Astyanax mexicanus: one gene and its partner. The protein of the gene in region 1 binds, or shares a complex with, the protein of each later gene. Links are inferred from orthologs where the notes say so. Each region holds a gene or a part of one and is shown on either strand. Other genes may lie near its edges.

What was found.
Region 2: pigc (region 1) and pigh share a complex: the UniProt entries of both Homo sapiens proteins name them as parts of the glycosylphosphatidylinositol-N-acetylglucosaminyltransferase (GPI-GnT) complex. The link is inferred for Astyanax mexicanus from reciprocal best matches to the Homo sapiens genes PIGC and PIGH.

The regions. Positions count from the first base shown.
Region 1 is NC_064408.1:62,448,656-62,456,299, reverse strand, and holds pigc (phosphatidylinositol N-acetylglucosaminyltransferase subunit C), read right to left. Parts: upstream 3,185-7,644; 5' UTR 3,075-3,184; intron 1,453-3,074; 5' UTR 1,450-1,452; coding exon 571-1,449; 3' UTR 196-570; downstream 1-195. UniProt on the Homo sapiens protein: Part of the glycosylphosphatidylinositol-N-acetylglucosaminyltransferase (GPI-GnT) complex that catalyzes the transfer of N-acetylglucosamine from UDP-N-acetylglucosamine to phosphatidylinositol and participates in the first step of GPI biosynthesis.
Region 2 is NC_064408.1:78,401,389-78,408,908, reverse strand, and holds the start of pigh (phosphatidylinositol N-acetylglucosaminyltransferase subunit H), read left to right. Parts: upstream 1-4,390; 5' UTR 4,391-4,502; intron 4,503-5,287; exon of another isoform or gene 5,288-5,415; 5' UTR 5,416-5,522; coding exon 5,523-5,702; intron 5,703-7,520. Other genes in the region: zfyve1 (zinc finger FYVE domain-containing protein 1), read right to left, coding at 51-555, 2,507-2,977. UniProt on the Homo sapiens protein: Part of the glycosylphosphatidylinositol-N-acetylglucosaminyltransferase (GPI-GnT) complex that catalyzes the transfer of N-acetylglucosamine from UDP-N-acetylglucosamine to phosphatidylinositol and participates in the first step of GPI biosynthesis.

The DNA.
Region 1 (7,644 bases):
CCTTATAATATGGTTCGCCCTACAGTGGGAAAATGGACATTTTTGAAAATATGTTATTGCAGAGGTGCTGTTTACTTATTTAACCTTCAAAAATCAACAAACAAATGCAATTGACAAATGTACCAACACTTTTGCATGCCACTGTTTGAGATGTACGATTGTTTGGAGCAAAAAAAACATTTCAGAAACTTTACATTAGTATGACAAAGTGTTTTAATTCATAAAAGCACAAAAATTTTGTTTACCATCATATTTTTTTTCATGACTTATTACACATCAAATAAATAACTATAACAAAATGTAATCATTTTACCAGGTATTTTAGTAAGAGTTAAATATTTTAAAAATACTGTTCATGATTATGTGCACGTTGTTTACAGTTTTAGACATTTAGCAGATGGAGTCTTAAAAAAGGAGTGGTCAGTGTAGGCACAAGTTTTCCCTGAGCCTTTATGTTAAAGTGCTGAACATCTGATATAAGCAGCTGTCATAGCCCTCAACACTCACCAGTGTACAGTTAACAATTTTTCAGTATAAAAGAGGTCCATAGTACTATTACATGTGTTTGTGTTAGCTTAAAAATCGTGAGAGGTCCTCTCTGATCTCTGCTTCATCCCACGGGCCGTGGATGTTGTCTTTGTGTCTCTGAAGATGCACGAGCAGCATCGGACAGGCTAAAGTTAGCACTAGCAGAGCTAAAAGAAGGAGAAGAGCTCCTCCTGGCCAAAGGCTTGCCAAACCTCCGACCCCAGCTGTGCACACCAGGCCTGCAGCCAGGGGAAAGCTCCACTCAGCCCGGTCCCTGAGGCGATGGAGCAGGCAGGGCCACAGAGCAAACACCAGGAGGGCACAGCTCAGCATGGCGAAGGTGTGCAGGGCCCCAGGCAGCCGTGAGGCCAAACACACAGAGCCAAACAGCGCTGCGTTCAGGGACAGACTGCCTGGGGGGCTGGGCTGTGTGTACGGGAAGGACACCAGGTGGGCCAGCAGCATCATGGATGACATGGCATAAACAGTGTCTGTGCTCACGGATTCAGTCAACGTCTTCAGCACAGGAGAAAAGCCATAGGTAAAGGCCAAGAAGATGGCTGCGCTCTGCAGGTCTGCCATGCGTGTACGCTCTCCACTGCCTCCTCCCAAAGCCTCATAGAGCCCATAACCCAGAAGTGCACACCCAAGACTGGCCCAGAGCAGGGTGGAGGGTCCCAGGTCTCCTTGATCCATGTAGAACCATAATGTGAGAAAAACGGCTACACAGGAGACCTGCTGAGCGACCAGGCCTGCTTCCTGCACCACAGCCCAGTAGCGGTACTGGTGGACACCGATGTTGCGCTGCAGTTCCTCCAAGAAGCGGCGGTCCACATAGTTGTCAGGGTAGGGCTGACGCTCATACAGCACTTTACGCCACGGGACTGCTGGGGGAGCACCCGGACCACTGTCTGCGCCCATCGCCTGCAAAATGACATATGGATTATGAAGCTATAATACACCATGTGAATTTACTAGAAAACATAGACCCTGTTTTCACCTGGTGACCTCAAATGACTATGGCTAGATTACATCCAACTAAAAAGTTTACGCAGCAATTATTACTTGTGTTTTGGTTATATTGGGAGGAGTTTTATTTGTCTTGGAGAGAATATTACACTTCAATGCATCTTGAAACACCTCAAGTGATTTGAGTAATCAGATTTTTTTTCTCTGATTTGGTGAGTTTACACTTTCCTTTTTAAGGTGACTTATACAGTCATACAGTACTTTAGCAGCTTGATAAATAGAAAGAATAGGTTAAAACTCAAAATGTCTACTCAGAATTCTCTAATTGAGTCGAAATGTTTGAACACACTTTTCATTTTGATGTAATGAGACAGCTTTCATTGATCTACCAATTCTGATATTTTTAAAAGCCGTCTCATTTATGTAAAAAGAGGAATTCATGAATTTAGCATGGACTAGTAAATTTGTATACAGCCTTTGTATTAACATTAAATAGCCAGATTGTACAGTGAAATTTAAAATGAATCAAGTGTGACAACAAAAGTAGTTTATATCCTACACATTTTTATTCTAATCATTTCCTTCTGAATCAAAAAGACAGAGCATAGAAAAATCATAGAAAAAACATTTTTATCCTTCATTTTGGGGAGGGCAACTTAAAAAAAAACAGCAATATAGACACTTCTGTATCAATCCACAGATCAGTAACTGAAAAAAATAATCAATTGTGGCATGTTATTTAGTAAAAAATCTAGTTTTACAAATATTAAGATAATATTAAGACTAGTCAGAACATAAATAATAAGAAATAATGATAAAAATGTCTGAAATGCATACTTGTATTACTCCAAATTACATAAAGGATATATCATCCTGGTAGTAAGTCTGGTCAGAATGTATTTATAGTTCTGTATATAGGATATTGTTACTAGTAAACATTTTAGAGTTAATATCCGAAATGAGAGTTTCTACTAGTAAAATTTCAGAGATCTGTCCTTTTAGTTCCAGTGCTTCACTCTGAGTTCAGACATGTATCACCATCAGTCATTACAATACTCAACAGCAAACCTTCGGTTTTTATGTGTGTAGTTCTATTTCGGATAAAAAAAAACATAATAATAGTAGTGCTGAACCTGTAAATACAAATCCGCTTTAATCATAACGGTACAGAATGACAGTCAAGAGGAGCAGTGATGAAAAGAAAAGAGCTGGAGGAGGAACAACAGCTACAGGAAGAGGGTGGAGACATTACTGACAGTCTGACTGTCTACTGACTCAAGAGTTCAGCCTTTTCCCTGTGTTCAGGGGCTAATTAACACATTTAAATACTGAAAACCACTAAAAAGAATCCTCCTCGTCCCGTTGTTCAGTGTTTTAAAGGAGTCAGACTCAGTACATAACCGGTTCTGCACTCTGTATCTCTCACTGTGTCTGAGCGTGTCCTCACACAGCGGACAGGCTGGCACAGCTCTCTTTTTCTCTCTCTCTGTGTTCAGGCAGTAGTTACACAGTTACACAGAGGTGTGAGCACTGCTGTAAGGAGATAAACTGTATAAACTGAGGTATTAAACTCGTACCGGATCAGCTGCTTCCTCCTCGCTGCTCACATCTCGCCATTGGATCTGCCGGATGTGACGAAAGCTGAAAACACCAGAGCGGACTGACCGGGCGGGCGGGGTTGCGCCCCCTGCTGGAGGAGTACACACAAGTAGTGAACAAGGTGAGAAAACTGATTATATCCAGAGAAGGGCTTTGTTAAACCAAAATGAGATTTTGATATGTCTATAACTGCCAAAGGGACTGACAGGAACGTTGTATCGCTGTAAAATTAGACTTAACACATTTCAACACTGAGAATAAAAAAAAATAAATCAATAGCATGGTTTACAGAGATCTTTTACACGGGGAGAGAGAAAAAAGAGCACATTAAAAAATGATTAATTAAAATACTCATCATATTTCTAAAGCGTCCCAAGGATATTTATCTTTACCCCTCCTTTTTTAATTGACACTTTATTTGTTTAAAAACAGCCTGTGCAGGTATTTGTGTTTGTTTTATTACAATCAAATACCTTGTCTCACAAATCTTACTATTTGTCACACATACAATTCACCAATATAATTCTTGTAACTTTTTTGACACATTGTCCTTAAAAATGACATACATCATAGATTTCTCATATAACTCCAACTTCACACCAAGCTCTCTCATGTTTTCCCAGACTTCTTGACCCTCACATTAGGACTCCCTATCTCTGTAAATGCTCCCAAACACCAGTCGAGTGAAAACTAGCATCTGCGTCTTCTGAAACATGTGAAGTCACACACTACCTCTTTACTAACCGCCACTGATGCAGAATCAATAGGTAGTCAGAACACTCAGAGGAAAGTGCAGCGACTCAGCTCTGATACACCAGCTTACAAACGCCCGTGCTGACCAACATTACACTATCCCAGAGACTTTTTTATGGTCATAAATTGACAATTTTTTGACTGCCTGAAACAACACATTCTGTCAATCCCAGAAATGCACAACTCCAGGCCTGGAGGGTCAATTTCCAGCAAAGTTTGGTAGCATCTTAAAAGGTGAATCTTAAAAAAATTTGAATATCATTGAAAAGTTACTGTATTTTAGTAATTCAGTAAAAAATGTGAAACTTACATATTACAGATAATATGACTCTCCAAACCGTCACTGATCATCAGTAAATTTTACATTTTATTTGTAAAGCAAGGGAGCAGAGTCTGGAGGAAGAGTGGAGAGACACAGTCCAAGCTGCTTGAGGACTAGTGTAAGTTTCCACAATTAGTGATGGTTTGGGGAGTCATGTGATCTGCTGGTGTTGATCCACTGTGTTTTATTATCAAGTCTAAAGTCAGTGCAGCGTTTTCGTACAAAATCTTACAGCACTTCATTCTTCCCTCTGCTGACAACTTTTATAGAGTACCAGTTGAGTCACTGATTTTTGGGTTTTCATTGGCTATAAGACATAATCATCAACAATAAAAGCTTAAAATAGATCACTTTGTGTGTAAAACATCTATATAATATATGAGTTTTACATTTTAAACTGAATTACTGTATATACAGTACACTATCTAGTAGTTGTGGAATAGGAGGCACATTATAAAAGTATCTTTTTCTAATGGAAAGAGCAGAAGAGCCCCAATAGATGGGCACTCAGTAAGACACATTTTTAAAATGTTTTAATATGGAGAGCACATCATATCAATTTATTGCAAAAAGACATTTTTTCATAAAAATATTTCTCAAAAGAAATAGGTAATGTAGCTATATATATATATATATACATATTTACAGTTTACCTTTTTAATACAATTGTATTGGTAGAGAAATAGAAATGGCTAATGCTAATACAACATAACATGACTTCTTTGTGCTTTTAAAGCACATCTCAGATATGCATGCAGATACTGGTAAGCCTACATATCTGCAAGTCACTGTCTAGGAAACAACACAGACACAGGATACAGCCTTGTTTGGCAACAATTATTCAAGTGCACTATTATCTTTTTTAAGCAACAGAACAGTGTTTCTCTTCTCCCCGCACACCCGATTCTGTTAATGAGTTAATTTTGAGTTACGTCTTTTCAGAGTGACTGTGGGTTTGTAAAGGCAAGGAATTCCCTAAAATGTGCTAGGCAGGGTGCCCCAGCACCAGGATTGAAAACACTAAACATCATATTGCGGTCTATCATATTTCTAGTCTTAAAGATTTTAATAGTGTTTACCCAAGTTTATATCACACTGTAGGTGGTCTTATTAGCTAAAAATAAAGAGATAGCGAAACACTTAAAAACAATTTTGTTTTAAAAACACAATGCCTTTACCATCTAGTGCAACTTTGGCACATTTCTCTTTTTTAATCCTGTTTTTGAAAAAGTTGTGCCCCTAGAAACGAACAGCCATATGCCAAGCACTTGATCGGCTTAGTGCCTGGACCAGCCCAACACAAGCCCCTAATCCATAGTGTTAAGAATAGCCAGTCAGGATCTCTACTGTCTCCAAAGGTAACCTTGACCCTGGCCAAAATGCATGTTACTATAAATAGTTCAATTAGGACAAAGTTATTTAAAAAAGTTAAAATGGCTCATTCTATCAACATTCTAGGCAAGTTAAGTGCATTTTTAAATTTGTTTTTACATTTTAAAAGGGGGTTTAGGCACCCCAACAGAGTTACGCTTTCAGATCAATTTTTTACCAAGGTCTTTTAATAACTTGTTAAAAACTATAGCTTGGTTCCAGTCATAACATTTCACAACTTTCTAAATACCCTGACATCTCAAAATCTTGTCTTAACAATCAGTTTTTTGCAATCATAATGTAAATAAGATGTGACAGTGTTTTTTTGTAATCATAATGTAAATAAGATATGACAGTTATCAGAAATAGTGCAGCTAATGTTGAGGACTGAAAAACATAACATTTCTAAGAGAACTGCTTGTGGAATTTAAGAAAAGGCAAGCAAATCTGAAAGGCTCTTTTCCTGCTAAAGATCATCAAAATATCTAGTCCCTGGAGTGATAGTGCTCTGTTCTACTGTTCAGCAATTCCTAGTTCAAATATAGCCTTCATGCATATGACTTCATGAGTTACCAGGAGAAACCTCTTCCCAAATTTCCCAAAGATTTTTTTTCAGGAACTACCTAATGAAGCTTGATATGTTTTAGTGAGCAGAATAGAACTCCTTGGCTGCAGAAACCAAAGGTACATTTTGTGCTTGAATTGAAAATAAGCATTATGAAAGTGTTCATTAGAAATTGTGACACAATCATGTCATCCTGGACCCAAACATAATAGCACAACAGTCCTGTGTTTTAAAGCAAGACAATAGAAAAATTGGCATTTCTTGCCTTTGTGCTCCTACTTTCAGGAATTCCTTCTTTGCACAAGAGCTAAAGAACAGGTTTTTCTTGCCGAACTGAGAGATACAGAACCAGGATATTGCAGGATTTGACACAATTATGACTCAAGTTATATAGTGTTCTGGCCACTTCACCAAAGTTACATAGTGCAGGTATCAGCATCAGGAGCAATGCTAGATAAATGATTCACCAGAATGATTTTGAAGCTGTTATTTTAAGGTTGAATGCTACACAATGCTGCATTTATTAAAAAGTACATTAGCTAAAAACAATGGTAGTGGTTAATTTAACCTTTCATGCAGTACACTGATAACTGATTATAAGCTTATATTACTTGTTAGCTACACTGGCCTGACATTACAATGCAAAAGGCAGCAACATTATGGCATCAAAAGTTTTGGCTGATCATTTTTTGTATTTGGGCTAAACTAAATATAATGACAACATACATGACAAAACCAAACCGAACCATAAAACTGCACAGAATACAAGTAAAGAAGAACACGACGAGTAGTATAAATAAACCTTTATGGGTTTCAATACAGCGACCAAACGTTATTGGCACAAGTTCCGAATGGAAAACAAAAATAAACAATTGGCACATATGCAGGGGATGGACTGTTCCAGTGCATTTCTCTGATGTAGTTATGTAAAATAATTGAGCAATGTATTGTTTATGTTACTGCTGGTGAACATAAAGCATATTATCTCATGAATCACAACATTTTATTTAAGTAATATTTAAAAACAAACAAACAACTGAAATACTTCTATGCTATGTAGTGTTTAAGAAGCTCTTCCTGAAGACCTCCAGAAGGTGGCAATGTGGCACTAATGATGCTGTTAAATAGCCTTTAAACCTTTCCAGAACAATGAAAAAAAAATTAAAATGTCTTTACCTGTTGGAATAAAACCCTGAAACACAATAAAACATCCGTGGAGAACTACACTCTTTAAAACAAGGGTTCTTCAATGGTTCTTTAGTAAAGGCAGTGGTTCTATATACAAACATCACACGCTGCAGAACAATTTAGGTAATTAACAGGTCCTTCACATTGGTGGGAAATATACTGTAGATGGTTCTATATACCATTAGAAATTGAGGCAAATGAAGCTTTCCCAGTATGTGAAAATCAAATTCCAGGTTTCTTATAAAGTTAGACTTTAGAATGTAAAGATAAAGATGTGTTAAACAAACTTATTTTCAACCCTTCATATTAGAACTTGAAAAATGTATTTGTTTAAGGTTAAAACTGCAGT
Region 2 (7,520 bases), about 16 Mb from region 1:
GTACTTAAATGATTTCAAATCGAGATATTTAAAAGGTCCAGAACACTGACCTGAGCCTAGCAACTTGGTATGGACGGTCTCGTGAAAAATGATAACAGCAGGGCCCAAAGTGGAAAGCGGCACATCCAGACCACAGCGGGCAGTGGTGGCTTTCAGCTCCTTTGTAAAATGCTTTAAATAAGCATCTGAAGCATCGCCCAGAAACTTAAACAGATCATCGTGAAGACGGTCGGCGTGTGTGCGGTAAATGACCAGGTCTGACACGGCCAGCACCTTCAACAGGAGACGGGTCCGCTGGCCCTGGTTTGATCCTGCTCCCAGGAGTCCCTCTGTGTCGACGACCACCACCTTATGAAGTGGGTCAAGTGCTGCCCACACTCCAACAGTGCACGACTCCTGCGTGGGGGATGTCTTGAACACTTCACGGCCTTTGAAGAACGTGTGGTTTAGGGTGTGTGATTTGCCTTCCCCAGTATTACCAAAAATGGACACCACCTTCAGCAGTTCATCCGGTACACAGCCCAGTCTCTTCACAAAGTTATCTCCACTCTTTACCTGATCACAGTAGAAGTGCAACATAGTTTACGGTCATCGCTTTTAATATGGTAAGGTGTTGAGTTTTAAAATATACTGAGAAACTAAAATTACTTCATGATATTCCTAAAAAGTAAAATCCATGTAAAAATATTCAAAAACTGTCTGCTTTATAGTTTTGTGGAGTGGATTTATTTCTAATAAACAAAAATAAATTCAGTGTTGACACTTCTTTTTTTTTTACCTCTATATTGCATATTTTCGGCACTGTTTACCAATCGTGGTTCTGAAGTAGCCCTGCACTACACTAAAGCTAAAACCAAGCAAAACTAATGAAGCTAAAACTAATGGAAATCAATGTCATCTATAGTTTTTGATCAATGCCTGCTACCACTGGTTTACCATGGTTCTTCACTGGCATGATTTAAAATATTCATTGGTATCACCTTTAGATCATCCATGATTGACTATGATTGTTCTCTTTTTTTTATTCCTTTAATTCCAAAATACTCAACGAGCAAGACAATTTACAGTAAAAAGGGCCACCCTGAAGTCAATCCTGAGAACCTATGCTTTGATTTCAGTGCACACCAACATAACATGCCTATCTCAATTTTTTTTTCTTTTTTTACTATGGGTTGGCCCCACATATACATGTCAGTGAAGGACCTTATCAGGGTCAGTGATGAGAACAGCAGGAGTAAAACACAAGCCCCATCTGGGTTGCACTGTGAACATAGATGAAAGTAAGGTGTGCTGTAATGATGAGGCACAACTGAGAAATCCAACTGGGTCAAGACAACACAAGACAAGACAACCATAGTGTTCATACTTGTGCTGGAAGCACAGGTGGAATTTGGCCTTCGCCTTTAACCCATTTGTGCAGTGAACACACACACGCATACACACACACCAGTGAATACAAACACCAAGTAACCAGTAATACAGTGAGCTCAATTAGCCAACAGTGGCAGCTTGCCAATCCAGGGTATCAAACCCACAACCTGGTTTTCAATAGCCCACTCAGAGGTCATGCCCACCTCAAACCCACCTAGCCCATATTTCATCAATGAGGGCGCCACATGAGCCTGTTGGCTTGGTGAAATGTACCAAAAAGTACAGCCCTGAAAAAAAAATAAGAGACCACTTCGAAATGATCAGTTTCTCTGATTTTACTATTTATAGGTATATATTTGAGTAAAATGAACAATGTAGTTTTATTTTATTCTATAAATCACTGACAACATTTCTCCCAAGTTACAAATGCAAATATTGCCATTTAGAGCACTTGAAAAAATGAGAAATGGTCAAAAATAATTAAAAAGGTAAAGTGCTTTAAATCCTTAAATAATGCAAAGAAAACAAGTAGATATTCATAAAGTTTTAAGAGTTCAGAAATCAATATTTAGTGGAATTACCCTGATTTTTGATTACAGCTTAATGCATCTTGGTATGCTCTCCACAAGTCTTTCACACTGCTTTTGGCTGACCTTACTCCACTCCTGGTACAAATTCAGGCAGTTCACCTTTGGCTTGTGACCAACTTACATCTTACATGATTACAATTAGAGTTTTTTTTAATGAAAGTTGTGACTAAAACTGTGGGTTATTCTACCCATTGTTGGTTCTAAACTCACCCTAAAATAAAGCTTGCTGTTTGATTGCTGTTGTTCCTAAATGCATATGAACTTGTTTTTCTTTTGTTTGCATTATTTGAGGTCAGAAAGCTCTGCATTTCTTTTTGTTATTTCAGCCATTTCTCATTTTCTGCAAATAAATGCTCTAAATGACAATATTTTTATTCTGAATTTGGGAGAAATGTTGTCCGTAGTTTATAGAATAAAACAACAATGTTTATTTTATTTAAACATATATCTATAAACAGCAAAACCAGAGAAACTGATTCAGAAACTGAAGTGGTCTCTTATTTTTTTTTTCCACAGCTGTATGTGAATCCATCTCATTCCCATACCTGCATATCCTCCTTCTCATCCACCAGCAGGAAGCTGCAGACCTTGTCCAGCTGGGCGTTCACGCGCTGCAGGTCCTCGTCAGCATCAGAGTTCATGTTGGCCTCGGGGGGTTTGCAGGGCGGGTAGGCAGAGAGGGGGTGCTTTCTTTTACTCACGCCGCTGTGAGTGCGCTTCTGGCAGTCCAGGCACAGGTTGATCTTGCAGCCCTGACACCTGACCACGGCCCTGAGGCGAGAGCCGTTGGCAGGACAGCTGCCGTCGCCTTTGCAGGAGTCGCAGAAGGGTACGTGGCCCTGGGAGATCCGGACGCGGTCGTGGTTCCTCATGCGCTCCTGCCGGTGCAGCTCCAGCTCGCAGCGGGCGCACTGCAGGCTGCCGCACTCGTCGCACTCGAAGGCGGCCTCATCCGAGCCGCCGCAGGCGTAGCTCTCCTGGCAGACCAGGGCGCCGTTCACTCCCTGCCCGCTCATCCTGGAGCCACAACTCACTGAATTACAAGCAACTTTAACTTAGCTAACGTTAGCTAACTTGCTCAGACCTCGAAACGCACCTGATGATAATAACCGTTCATTAGAACCATTGAAATTATTGCTTGATCACGAACTCAACCTAACTAGTTATCTGCTTTAAAACCAGTCTGCATAAGAGAAACAATAATAAATAAATACAAAAACACCACACACCCACCACTTAAGGCTATGACACTGACTCCAAACCTTACACGCACTAACCCAACTAAATTAGTTAACTACTAAACTATTGCACCAGTTTAAAAGTTTAAAGCTGCTCTTAAATCCACTTTTAATCACAACCTGAAATAACACCATGTATCCACCACAGATATTTACAGCTAGTTAACTTAACTAGATAAGCTAGCTAAAGTTAGTTACTGAACTTATGACACCGCTGGAACAACGCCCAGATCATTCCATTTGCAAGCTACCTTGGTTAACTTTAGCTAGTTAACTTAACTAAGCTAGTTAACAAATTAACTTGTAGTAAATTAAGTAAGACTCTATCTTTAGAATATTATTAGATAAATCTAACCTAAATTAGGACCATAGATGGATTTTGTTTAAAAATATTTAACTTTTGTAACTAATGACACTCTAGAAATTGATAAATTATCTATCTAGCTAGTTAACCTATCTTTTTTTTTTTTTAGCTAATTGGGTTAACTAAACAAGCTATCACACATACTGGCCTTTAGTATCTTAGGGAACGTTACTGTATATTTAGCTGGCTATTAGCTCCCTAGCTAGCATACTGCCCCGCCACAGTCCCATCTGCTCAAGCGACCATTAGCAGCTAGCTAACTAGCTCAGCTAACTTAATGATAGTCCGTGGTTTAAATAAACAACATCACCAACCTCTCAAAGCCGCTCTCAGCTCTCATATCTAGCTACACCCTGCAATATCACCCTGATAAACGCCACAGGCTACGAGGACGGACGCGGACGGACGTGTTGAGCTTTTGTTCAACAAGCTAGCAGCATTAGCATTTCGTTAACAGGAGGAAAAAGGATACTGCCCTCTAGCTAACACTCAATGACAACAAATAATAGACTTTCTTTAATAAATACACAAATATTAGACAGGCCTGACTGGCTCCGTGCGCCCAGCTGCGTTTAAAACGGTCTGTGAAGCGCGTTTATCCCAAAACAACAACAACAACAGCAGCAGCAGCAGGAGCTCTGGGGTCTGCGGTCAGCAGCCTTCCTGACTTAGCAAAACAGCACAACAAATCTGTATTTCGAGCGAGACAGCGGCGCAGTTTTCACCAGACCGGCCGCAGGAACACACACAGCAGCGCCCGGGCTGTCTCTGGACAGATTTACAGTCTGGACAGGAAGGTCGAGCCGCTTGTTTTGAGAGCAGCTGGTTAGCTGAATAATTCCGCTGGCCGGTTGATTTCGGAGAGTGTTGTTGCCAAGTCACATCAGCTGATCGACTTTGTTTTCAGCCTGAAGGTCGGAGGGGAACGGCTGCTGCAAGGTGAGTAGGGAAATGTAGTGAAAAACCGAGGGAAAAGGCGGCTAACGAAGCTAGTTTGCTAACCCATCTATTTAACCGCTGTTTCTTATCGTCCCTGTTAACGTCTTCTGTTTTTTTTTATGCAGTAACACTGCACTCTTTCAGCAATGCCATGTGTATTAACTATATTAGTGATGCTAAGTGTTTTAATGTATTACATTTTACCGGATGAATAGGATAATCTATGGAAGGTATAGAGACTTATTACATAACTTATTTTTGAAATAACTCGTCATAAATTTTAATTATATTTCTTTTATCATTCTAATTTTACAATAACAACTAGTTAACTTAGTGTCCCCAGCTAGCATAGCCCTGTCAACTCATTTTAATGAGGTGTGGCAATAGGAACAGTGTCTGATGAGTGTTTAATAAGGCAGCTTACATCTGCTCAGTTTATGTATAAGCTAATGGTGTTTTTTTTTGTTATTTTCTTACTAATAGAGTTACTTGAGTTTATGTATTTATTTTATGAGTGTATTCAATCAGGTAATTTGTTACAGTTAAACAGTTAAACCTATACTACTACTACTACTACTACTACTACTACTACTACTACTAATAATAATAATAATAATAATAATAATAATAATAATAAAAAAGAATAAGAAAAATAATAATTATATTAATAAGAAAAATTGTCGACCAAACTTAAGACTGTAAATACATTTTTAATTCCGCAGTGGCATAAAAAAAGAAATCTTGCTTTAACATGTCAGTTTAAACGTGGTAAAACTCAATTTCCCATGATGCACCGTGTTTTTTAAGGTCGCCAGGTTCTGTTCTATCGATGTGAACTGATACTCGCCGAGGCTTCATAGACATTAGTAAATATCTGGTTATATTTGGACTGTCTTTATGTACTGTATTACAGGCTTTAATCAGTATTGAACACACTTCTGTGTTGGTGAGGCGTCTTTCTGACGGGTGTTTCAGCGCTGGTTTGTGACAGCTGAGCTTGTGCTGCTGTCTGCTCCCGTCATGGCTGAAGAAGGACCGTTTACAGACATCAGCGGTAAACCCATCTCGCTGGAGTGTCAGAACTACACTCCTTTCTGCAGAGAGTTCACTGTCAGCTCCCCGAAGGTCTCTCTACTCAAGGTGATGGGGTACACCTGCTCCGTCTGGCTGCTCGCCTACGCCGTGTTCTTCCTCACGGAGGTACGTAAGTTAGCGTAACTTGCTAGGTTAGCTTCGCTAGTTAGCTAACATGACCTAAATACACTGTTGTTTTTTTGCAGTGTTGTACACTGTAAAAATGAAAAGAACAGAACCGTTTAAGTTTTGAAAAAGAAAAAAGAAAGAAAAAGAAAAGAAAAGAAATACTTTTTTTTCATATGCATAAAACTTTAAATATTAATTCTCACCAACTTTGAAGTTTACTTTGTGTTGTTAGTTTGACTCATTTAGGTTCTATGATGTGTTTTGTAAGTTCCGCTGTCTATCCATTAAGGTCACGTTTTACATAAATCAAACTCGCATAATGAGCACTATATTGTTTGTTAATATAAGTTAGCAACTGAGAATTTATGACTATTTTATATCTGTCTTATTGTCAGTCATATAAGTATTGCGGTAATGCAAACAGAACCAGCTGGTACCAGACAGCCTTCAACACTGAGGCCAGGCAGCTACTATTATATAACACATAAGTGAAGACCAAAAGAAGACAGTCTGTGGAGAATGACTGCACACTGATGGTGAGTGAGAGATGGGAGGACACACCCAATATGCAAATAGCATGACCAACATCAGGTGAAAAGCCCCTGCAGAACTGCTCAGTAGACCCTGTTTAACTGAAGAGTAAAACTGAGCAATGTGCAGTAGTGCAGAGTAGTTGGCTTGGCCTCAACTAGGGTTCAACTGCAATTTGTAAAATTTGCCACACAAATGATTTAGTCAGACCAACTTTTAACAAAAAACGTAATAATGTTAGTTGAGGCAACTAGTTTGCTATAGTTTATGGTGCAATTCAATATTTCTTGTTCAGCTGACTTAAAAATCACAGCAAGAAGAACAATTTTGAGTTTGGTTTTTACAGTGTACAGAGAGTACGTACCCTAATGTGACGTAAAAAAATAATAATATAAAAGAGATAATGCGTGGCCACGACTTATTAAAGCATGGGAACGCATTTCCACGCTTTAATAGGTCGGTCACGCATTATTTCCTTTTCTTTTATTATTTTTATTTTTTGCATGATTTCACATTAGGGGCACTGTAGTGTTTTCATGAATAGTTAGTTAGCGTTACCAAGCCTTACATTAGCTACTACTGTGTCAATCAGTAAAGTACTAATAAAATATATGTATGAGTGTATGTATAAAATAGAAAAAGATTAATAGTTAGCACATTTATTGCATGTATATACAAACAAACTGTAAATACACTAGGTGGCAAAATAAATACTAAATAGACTGCTAAATATCACTTTCATCACATATTTTATAATGTAAAAAATGTTTGTGATATTACTGCTAACGATATGATTTGGCGCTCACCTGTAACACCCTCTTCTTTAGTCACATTCTCACATAGGGGTCCGTCCTAAAATGGCAAGAATCCAGCACAGTTCAGTGATTTTGTTGTTGATTAGGGTCAACTCAGTCAATCAGTTATATTGCTGCCAAGCTTATTCCTCATCCCCTGTGCTTGAGTTTCAGTGGGTTAACTGGGTTTCAGGTGAGCACAAGCACAGTCGGTTTAAGATAGGGATGCACTAAAATGCACTAATCTTCTAAACTGTGGATCAAATTAATGTACCTTGAAATAAAAGCTGAAATGTTGAACTTTTGTATCATATTCATCTTTTAAGGTCAAACCCAAATGTTTTCAGTCTTCAACAGAAATAAAGGGATTGGCATCGCTGTTCCAATACTGTTAGAGGGGACTGCTAACAAAGCACAATTTGACTTAAAATTGATTATTTATTAAATGTATTAAGACTAAATTAATTATTTAGTCTTTTGCTTAATAAAA